Kluyveromyces lactis: one gene and its partners. Each later gene encodes a partner of the first gene's protein in a complex. Links are inferred from orthologs where the notes say so. Each region holds a gene or a part of one and is shown in the gene's direction. Other genes may lie near its edges. The genes, in order: NUP120, NUP57 and ASM4.

Region 1 (3,763 bases):
ATGCTCAAATTCCATACTTATCGTTTCTTACAGTATCATTTATCTTCAATTAGCAAATTGAAGCTTCTCGGAAACAACATGCTATCTTTTGGCTCAGATGGTTTACTAAAGCACTGGCTCATTGAACCTAGTTTGAACTCTAATGAAAAGGCAACCAAGGCGTTTCACTGTGTGCCTAACCTCTTGGGTATTTTTTGGTTGAATAAAACAAGGTTTATGACTGTGGATGAAACTTCCGTCAAGTTGTGGAACGTAAGCCAGAGCGACCCTGTCATATCTTGGGATGGCCTCAAGGATTTAGAAGGCTTACAATCTGTAGATTTCAAAAATAAATGGCTAATTTTGACTTTCGTTAACGAGATACGGGTCTGGGAAATTAAAATCGATGACTCCAGTATCGTTAAGGTTAATGAATTCGTCATTTCAGTCCCCAATAAGATTCTCAATTGTTTGTTGGGATTAACGGAAAAATCGCTTATAATATTAAATGGTAGTTCAAAACAAAACGTAAAGATTTCTATCTTCGACTTTCAAGGCTCCCTTTTACAACAAATCGATCTTTCTCATTCGCTGACCCAATTCCATCACACAAATAATGAATTAGCATTGAACAGGTCGACATCAAAATTGCTTGTGAGATTCGATACAGAAACTCTGATTTACTCTTTCGATCAGAAGAAGACCATTTTAGTGTCTTCTACCGCAGAATCTGCTATTTCCTCGATTTTCCTCAATGATTTGGAGTACACTGTCACCGCTTTGAAGGATGGTTCAATACTCGTGAAGTCAATCAAAGAAGATGGTAAAGTAATTAGAAAATACAATCATTATGAACACCCTGAGAAGGTTCCCGCTGAAGTGCAACCAATTGCCATTGCATCCACAGTCATAGATGATACCCCTGTAATCGTTTCTGGTGGCTATAACGGTGTGATACGACTAGAAAAAATTATGAGCTTATGAACGCAATGCTATAGTAATCAAAGCTGCCGCTATAATTCAAAGAGAAATATAGGAAAATAATCTATAATGCTCATGTAAAACAGTACAAGACGAACGTCATCGTCTATAGACATGGTATCCCCAGAGTACCTATATAATCCTCCTCACAACATGGAAATTATTGCCCAAGCGACCTTAAAATTCAGTTATAAGTTACCCGGATAATATTGTTTTCATGGTTACAACAACAATGAGAAAAGACATGTTGAAATCAATCTGACATGAAGTGGAATCGGTAAACAGAAGAGAACAGCCACCAGAGAACTTCAATTACAGGCTAAATCGGAACATAAACCTACAACATTACTATTGAACAGCTGAGAGGTAAAGCTGAAACTGCGAAAAATGACCAGCTTTTCTCGTCTGAATACAAATTTACTACAATTAAAATCGAAGCACTCATCAGACAATGCCCAACATTTATACGTCAATGGGAATGTTGGATCATCTACAGAAGAAATAACTTCCGTAGAGTACAGCAAACTGTTGCAACTAAAATTAATTGATGAATCGTTGTCCTTCCAATGGTGTAATAATTACACTGTTTTGAGTATTTACTCCATGAAGGAAACTTTTGCAAGGAAAACCATATATATCCACTTTCCAAAACCTCTTCTGAACAAATGGTTTACTGCAGTCGTATACGAATCTAGTGAAACGACCTCCAACCTATGTTTTGATGTGATTTTAAAGGATGGAATTTTCATCAACCTTTCATTGCCTATCGATTTTATTCTATCGAGAACTCGTCAAAATGAGTATCCTGAGAATTGGTTGAAGGTTTTAAACCCGTATGATTTCTCAGTACGTCCTCCACAGTGTCTATTTCATGTTGATAACACCTTCAGTGTAGTATTTCTAAAAGATGGTGGTCTTTTGGGGTTAAAACGTATTCCGCTCGAAATATTAAACGATTTTGAATTGCAACCTGTCCTATTCAATGATAGTTCATACTTTCAAAGTTTTACAAGAATGTTTTCAAAGTACGATAACCACAACTCTGCAGTGGTATCTGCAGAACTTTTGAATGACAAGTATCTTGTCACATTAACGAATGATGCAACCATTAAAATCTGGGATTTAACCACATATCAACTAAATGCGCATTTCGATCTAAAAGAGAAAAACCAGCAGGTGAATTATGGAGCTGCCGGAAAATACATGATAATTTGTGGATCTCTCCTGTTTGTATACCTACCTGCAGGTAATGGATCGTTCCAAGTCATTCAATTAGAAAATACGCATTCTTCAAGAATCTCCTTCAAACCATTAAACGTTAATATACCTCTCAATCTTTCATCTTATTCAATATGGTCTTTAATTGACATTCAATTAGTAAAATCCTCAATTGTCAAACAATCGGGACTCAACTTGGTTTTATTATGGAAAAGTAACACAGTGACCAAGCTACAACTACTCTCCTTCGAAGACTCTCTGTATAGTAGCTACAAATGGATTGATGGTAACAGCACATACCTCTCTGATTTGCTTGATGACTCAGACCTAATAACAAACGGAAATATGGAAAAGGCTCTCCTCAATCTCAAGTCACACTACTCACAATCAACGTACGATGACGCACAAAAGATACTGAATAAAAATAATGTCATGGTGCAGATAAATGATCCTCATAATCAAGATTATTTGAATAATCTAGAAGCTCTTTTGAAAGAACTTCATAAACAATATCAGGAGCCTTCAACTCTAACTATTCTTGATGATGAGATAATTGTTGTTAACAGCTTACACATGTATCATCATTCCACGTATAAGTTAGACTCACAACTTGAAACAATTTTCTTTAACATTTTTGAGAGAAAGGAACCCTCGTCTCAACTAGAGCTTTTCTTAAATATCCTGCATGGTTTTTCAACAACCATTACATCTGAAACGTTAAATAAGATATCTGAGAAGTTCTTAGACATGGTAAATGGTTCAATAAATCCCTCGTTATCATTGAAAAATAAAATTACCATTGTCTTTCAAGATTGTCTAACAAATGGTTTCCAAAGTGCTAATTTATCAAAATTGTTGGAAAATCTAAATTCTATTGATGTGGTGGAGGTTTTATCCGAATTTATACACTGTGATTTGAAAGTAGGTGCTTTTTCAGTTATTGATTTATTAGATACTGACATTTTCTTATCTGTTTTGTCTATGGAATCCTTGAAGCAGACACTCTCCATTATGGATAAGTTTATCATTGATATATTGTTAGTATTCACTATTGTGGATATCAACTATGAAGTTTTTGCAGAGAAGTTGTCTAAGTTAATTACCTTGCACTTCAATATCTCATTGTGGCTCCAAGTGTATCAAATAGATAAATTATTGGCAATTTCTGAGACCTTCGGTCATGTTACTAAATACAATTATGGTGCACAATTGAAATCTTACAGCGATATAACCGACTTTACTACATTAATGGTTGGTTTTGTCAAGAATTCTCCAACAGCTGAACCTCCAATATTTACAAGAGCCTTTTCCGATTTCATATTGAACGGCGAAGATTTGACTTGTGCAAAGCAATTCCTACACTTTGTTGCTAAGCCTTACCATGTGTCCAAGGATCCAGTAGAAGAACTACTATATGCTCTTTCTTTGTTCAAATGCAATGAATATGATGCATCTATTGAAATATTCTTGGCAAATGACTTCTCTGATGAGCTCTCACTACCTAAATATCTGGAGGTTACTGAAAATCACGTTTGGTACAATCTCCTTCATGCGATCAATACAAAAGATAAACCAGCATACTATT
Region 2 (3,763 bases), on another chromosome or scaffold:
AAACTATTCACTAATATACTGAGAACTGAGCTTTTTTCAGTGCATCTTATAGATTTCAAGCAAGTTGTGTCTCATCTTCTACTTGTTAAATCACCAAGACGCGTTTTTTCTGTTAAAAATACACGTTAGCTAAGAAGACAGAAATGAAACACAGAACTAGCACCATCAAGTATTAGTTGACACTGTTATAGTAGTGACAGTGCAGTGCATGCAATTGCCACAAGGTAAGGATGAGGTATTGGACCAAAAGTATCTAAACATTCTTGATTATAGATTTACTTATCTTAAGGAAAATTAGTCACGTGATGCGCAGTAATCATATCACCCTTATTCATCTGTATTGCACCATCAGTTTAGTAAGTGTGTTCCGAAAACTACCCATTCAAACACATGTATCGGTCTTTGCCCTTGTTATATACATGTATTTTTCTAACTATCAATTCTATTCAGCGTTCAAGATATTTAAAGGTACGAATCGATCCTTATATTCGAACGATCATTACCAGAAAAACGGAACAAGAGCGAAAAGAGAGGGAAAGTACTGTGTGAAACTACTCTCACCCAGCGATGACCGACCTAAATGATGATTTGGATCTACCAGTAACTAAAGAACTAAGCAGAGAGTTAGTTTCCAATTTTGTACGGAAGAATGGCTGCTTAGATATAGATAAGCTATTACTTGAGAATAACTTCCAATACGTATCGTTAGACGAACTCTCATATGAAGTATCTGCCTTGAAGCAATCAATGGAACAAACTATACTGGATGAAATCAATGACAATTATCCCGAGTACATGGAAATATGTGACAGGTTTAATACTAGTGACAATAACGAGGTGTTGAATAAGTTAAAACAAGTCTTGAATGATCTACAACAGTTCAACAAGCAATTACTCCAACTTTGTGATTCCTCAGTGGCTGAAACTAGAGAAAAAACAGTAACAGCATTATCCTACCTAAAATCGCTTGATAACCTATTTGGTAAACTGGACGATATCACAAAGCTATCAGAATCGCTAAAGATATGCCAGCAACTTGTATCATCCTTACAGTCTATGGTGCAGCTGAATATCGACGACGAGCTTTCCTTCACAGTGGCAAAGCAGCTCTCTACTATACTAATACGTTGTGACTACAGATTTAGACATTTGGAAGACAATGATTCCACCCTAATTACTCGAATGAGAAACGACTTTAAAAGTATTCTCGAGACCGCAAAGCCTTTAATTAAACCCGTTCTCGAGAAGCAGAACCAGCAAACTCAAACCATAAAAACTTAAATATATGATAAATGCGAACCCAATTCAAATAAAGTGAGATTCCACCCCCTAGGTGGAAGCGAGTCTACGCTATGAGTATCCTTACGTAAATGTGTATAACATCTCTGACTTTGAGCCTCATCTCATCATAATGAACGATCTTGAATTTTTCAGTTCTTCACAACAAAAGCATCAACAAACATCACAACTAACATTAAATCTATAAGAACGAACTGACAATATAGCAGGGCCAGCGTACTAACAGAACACTGTGAATATCGATAAGGTTCAATTTTCTGTCATCAATTAGCCATGTTTGGTGCAGTGAATTCGGGAAATAGTTCAATGAACAATGGCGGCGGTTTATTTGGTAACAAACCTGCTGCTGGAAACACAGGGTTCCAGTTTGGCGGTCAACAACAACAACAACAGCCACAGCAGCAGCCTGGTGGTGCTGGTAGCTTGTTCGGACAGAATAACAACTCGATAGGTAATACATCAAACACTGGAGGAGGTCTGTTCGGAAGTACACAGCAACAGCAGAAACCTTCTACTGGGGGTTTGTTTGGCAACACGAACTCTGCCGCGGGAGGAACAGGCGGGTTGTTCGGCCAATCCAATCAGCAGAATAATACCAATACTGGGTTGTTCGGCAATGCAAACTCTACAGGAATACAGCAGAATAATACTGCCCCAACCAGTGGAGGTTTGTTTGGGTCCAAACCGGCAGGTGGATTGTTTAATAACACACAGCAGTCCACCACTGGTATCCAAGGAAATCCCACTGGAGGTGGATTGTTTGGTAATAATAATGCGAACACAGGAAGTTCGGGTGGACTGTTTGGTAATTCCGGAAATACAAATACCAGCGCTACTTCTGGAGGTCTTTTCGGTGGAAACAGAACTGGGGGCCAATCCACAGGCGGACTTTTTGGCAATAACACTTCTAATAGCGGCACTACTGGAGGACTATTTGGATCCAAGCCTGTTGCGCCAGCTACTACATCTCTCTTTGGCCAAAATCAAACACAATCACAGCAGCAACAGCAACAACAGGGCCAGCAAGGTCAACAACCAGGGGGGGCATCCTTGTTTGGTTCAACGCCATCTACTACAATGCAACCGTCATTTGCATGGTCTAACACACAACAACAAGTACAGCCCCAGCAACAGTTGCCGTCGGTTCAGCAACCACAACAACAGCTACAAATTCAGCAACAACAGCAACAGCAACAAATATCTAATTATCCGCAACAAATCCAAGAACAAATTCTAAAGTGTAAGGAATCATGGGTGCCAAGTGAGCAAAGATCAAAACTTAAGACGTTTGTTTACAATAAATGTACGGAAACTGAAGCTATGTTGTATAATAAACCATTATCAATCTCGCAGGATGATTGGGATCAAGCGCTCATGAGTAAACCTGGTAATAATACTATTCCAATTAGACTACTAGGTTTTCAGGATCTCAATGATCGTAATCAATTACAAAAGCAGCATGTTGCACAGGCTAGAGTTCTTTTGGGCCAAATTTTGGAAAAGCTAAATCAAGTTAACACTAAGCATGATTTAGATACTCAGTCAAGGATAGCAAAAGCTGTTTCCCGTAACACCGTCATTGAAAATAGAATTCTCAAATTGGCTTCTCAGCTAGCCATATTGAAAAGCAAGAATTTACCATTGAGCCTACACGAAGAGGAGATGATGAACAAGTTTAATAAACTATTACAAGAGAGCAATGATCCAGCAGGTCTAGGGAAAAACAACGAACTTTGGGCAAGACTCTCTGTATTGAAAGAAAGAGCCAAAAATATAAGCGAGCAACTCGATAGCACTCTTGTTGTGATTAGCGAAAACGGCGGCAACTCGAACGGTAAGAAAAATAATCAAGACGAGGAACTAGAAGACCGGGTGAACAAGATAGCCGAAATTTTAAGTAATCAACAACGTGGTTTATGTTTCTTAAATGATGTTATAGAAAAGGATCAGAAACTTGTCGACGAAGTTCACACAAAGCTAAATAAGTGAACATCATCACCACATTTCTGATTCAAGAAATGTTATTAATCTCGAACAATTCAAATGCATGAAAAGAGAGCAGTTTCCTCAATAATTTTGTCTTGCTGACAAATGTTTATAAACTTGTGTACTTTATTCTAAGAGAAAGAACTTACTTACCGTGCATTATGTCAAGACATGACACTTTGATTTATAGGCCTGAAAATCCATGGAAAAGGGTTGATATCCTACTTTTTGTAGACTCCTTGAACTCTTTATCAGGTAATCTAAGCCAATGATTCATTTCGTTTGGTAGCTCCGTAAGATTTTGGAATAAACATGGGATAATTTGAATTGTAGGTTTATTCGATGGAAATTCAATAAACCTTTTACTATAGGAAAGTTCCCCCGTAAAATTGCCTTCAGGAGTTTTAAATCTCTCTGTATCCTCCAAAAATAACCACTTGAATAAGTCGCGCCTGTGGATGTCTTTAACTTTGCCAGA
Region 3 (3,005 bases), on another chromosome or scaffold:
AAACCTGGCATTTTCAACAAGCTACTTGAAAAGGCGTACTGAAGAAGTATCATTGTTGAACTGACCAACAGAGCAGAAAAAGTTAATCACAGAGTCCAAACTGCACGCAACAGTTTGGTGTTACTTCCATCAGAGATATTTGTAAGTGAGAAATGTCTGCAATTTTAGAACAGCGCAAGCTGATTTCTCAGCTTATGTCTTCGGCTGCCACATCGCATGGGCTAACTTCACCATCAACGTGCAAATCATTTATCATTGGTCATTGCCCCTATGACCTTTTCCAAGAGACCAAGCAGCCCATGGGGCATTGTCCACGTATACATTCAGTCTCGCATAAAATGCAATATGAAAGAGATGTAAAGAAGGGCAAGAAATATCCTGAGTTTGACCTTGAGCATTACTCCATCTTGAAGAAGATTCTTAGTGATTGTGATGTTCAAATTGAAATGGCACATAAAAAGTTACAGCATCATGAGGAACATTCGAAATTAGCAGCACTTCTACAAGCAGTGAATCAGCTTGAATCCAAATGTGCTTTAATGCTTTCAGAAATCGATATGCTTATACAAAACGAAGAAGTTATGAAGGCGATGATTCAAAGCTGTAAATATAACAAACTGCAAACAGAAAGGGACACACTCAGCGAAAAATGCAGGCAAATGAACGAAAACACAGGCCAAAGTGCACAACAGAAGCTACAGGTATGCCGTGTATGTGGAGCCTACCTTTCAAGATTAGACACGGATAGAAGACTCGCTGACCATTTCATGGGCAAACTCCATCTAGGATACGTAACTATGCGTAAAGAACTTGACATGGTAAAAAAGAGATTGCACGAACAAGGGACAGATCTTCACACATATCTCCCGCAAACAAGGAGACATCAAAAAGCAGTATATAGAGGTAAATCTTATCGATCGTGAATGTATAAATTTACACATACACTGAAGCTGTTCATAATGGCAAACATTACCCGGATTTGAGTATTCTAATTGAAATAAAACAATTTCAACTAATAAACATCAAGAATAAGATTAGATGAGAATAGCTGTTATCATCGTAGCATGTTCATATGCACCGGTAACACTGTGGTTTGGTGTGTTCTTCAATTTCAAGTAGGATAAATTGATCATTTTTGACTGTTGAAACATTGTTGAGAAAGCGAACTGACAATCCTAAATCATGAGTTCAGTATTTGGCCAACAAGCGCAACAAGAGAACAGGTTTGCAAACTTGCAAATAAATTATCCTCAGCAGCAGCAGCAAAACCAACAACAGCAGAATAGTTCACAATCACTAGTACAGAGCTCTGCCACGAATGGAAAGGAAGAAAACTGGTATAATATAGCTAGAAAGAGAAACATTCCACAATCCGTGATAAAAAGATCGTCTAAACCGAGCTCATCTGGAGATGGATCTTCGAATGACAACTCTTCCCAAAGATCCGGATTCAATAGCGTCCAGTTTGGCACAAAGAAGCCAACATTCAGCTCTACGCAGCCTGCACAACCTACTGATATCGCGACTTATGTGGAATCGAATGAAGCTCCCCCAACAAAATCGTTATATGATTGGCAACGAGAGGATGAGTTCGGGTCTGTCCCCACTAACGTGAACGCAATGCCTTCGTCTAACCAAATACCTTTGACTCAAGAATACACTAAGAGCACAAGAAACGCATTCGACAGAGATGCGTCGAAATCCCCTGTAAAACCGACAGCGGATCAAACAAATGATATATCAAGACAAAAATCGCAAGAGAGCGCAGTAATTGTATTTGGATATCCAGAATCCATTTCAAACCAAATAATATTACATTTCTCAAAATTCGGAAATATTTTAGAGGACCTTGAGGTTCTAAGAGGTGTTACAGGTAACAACATATCCAGTGCTACTATTAGAATTCGTGCTCAAAATAAGGACTCTAAAATTCCTCATAAGAAATATCCTATCTTCACGGGCGATGGATGGATTAAAATCACGTATGACTCCCCTAGTGCCGCTCTGAGAGCTCTACAAGAGAATGGTACCGTTTATGGAGGTTGTTTAATTGGCTGCGTTCCTTATAGCAAAACAGCCGTAGAACAATTGGCTTCGTGCAAAATCGATAAAACTGATGACATCGGAGAAATCCCGTTCAGTTTATCGATGAAACCAAACGGACCTGAATCATCTGATATACAAAATGGGACACAAGAAAGTGCTGATAATAATAAACATGGGTTCACCTTTTCTACTCGGAAATTGGATGTCAAAGATGGAAAGCAGTTGTTTGTGCATAATGCAAACCCTCCTCATGGTGGTCCAAACTTTTTAAGAAATTTGGAGAACAAGTTACGAGAACAGGAACAGCATGGGAATAACCAACAACCAACAAATTTAATTGGAAGGGTCAACAATTGGTTATTCGGGTGGAACGACCTATAGTCTCATTGTCTTTAGTAATTAGAGATGTATTATGTTTATATAATTTACGGATACCTCAAGAAATTCCAGTGCACCAAACTTCAATGAATGTGAGTATTTGAGTGAATAACTACCGAAATGGTGAAGACGATGAATTCCGAAAGGGAGACTTTGATATACGGTTATCATCATCATCACCATCATCGTAATGTAACGTACCAGAATTGATGTCGGGAGATCGATTGAAATAGCCTTGTCTGCCTCTTCTGAAACGATCATCCATTCTGAATCTGTCATCAGACACATCGGGTATGCTATCATTTGTTTCATCCGGATAGTTTAGTAACCTATTTGCAAAGTGTTGTTTAATAGGACTATGAGAGTTTCTTCTCTCACTTATATTATGATTTCTAGATGCATTGGCCAACATGGAATGATCGAAATGAGGTTGTTGAGATGGTATTAGAAGTGGCGTGGAGGGAGCGGAAGGTGTATTACCACTTTGAAGATGAGAATAGCGAGAAGGGCTCAAACGCGGACTATGCTGTCTGCTAGGATACGATTCTCGTACATAAGCACCATTTATTGACTTAGGGTGA

Evidence for each region.
Region 2: NUP120 (region 1) and NUP57 share a complex: the UniProt entries of both Saccharomyces cerevisiae proteins name them as parts of the nuclear pore complex. The link is inferred for Kluyveromyces lactis from reciprocal best matches to the Saccharomyces cerevisiae genes NUP120 and NUP57.
Region 3: NUP120 (region 1) and ASM4 share a complex: the UniProt entries of both Saccharomyces cerevisiae proteins name them as parts of the nuclear pore complex. The link is inferred for Kluyveromyces lactis from reciprocal best matches to the Saccharomyces cerevisiae genes NUP120 and ASM4.

The regions. Positions count from the first base shown.
Region 1 is NC_006039.1:1,080,641-1,084,403, forward strand, and holds the start of NUP120 (Nup120p), read left to right. Parts: upstream 1-1,347; coding exon 1,348-3,763. Other genes in the region: FAR8 (Far8p), read left to right, coding at 1-963. UniProt on the Saccharomyces cerevisiae protein: Functions as a component of the nuclear pore complex (NPC).
Region 2 is NC_006038.1:975,685-979,447, forward strand, and holds NUP57 (FG-nucleoporin NUP57), read left to right. Parts: upstream 1-1,572; coding exon 1,573-3,288; downstream 3,289-3,763. Other genes in the region: Golgi transport complex subunit COG2, read left to right, coding at 568-1,281; MSS18 (Mss18p), read right to left, coding at 3,470-3,763. UniProt on the Saccharomyces cerevisiae protein: Functions as a component of the nuclear pore complex (NPC).
Region 3 is NC_006042.1:687,704-690,708, reverse strand, and holds ASM4 (FG-nucleoporin ASM4), read left to right. Parts: upstream 1-1,182; coding exon 1,183-2,427; downstream 2,428-3,005. Other genes in the region: LUC7 (Luc7p), read left to right, coding at 153-923; NUR1 (Nur1p), read right to left, coding at 2,537-3,005. UniProt on the Saccharomyces cerevisiae protein: Functions as a component of the nuclear pore complex (NPC).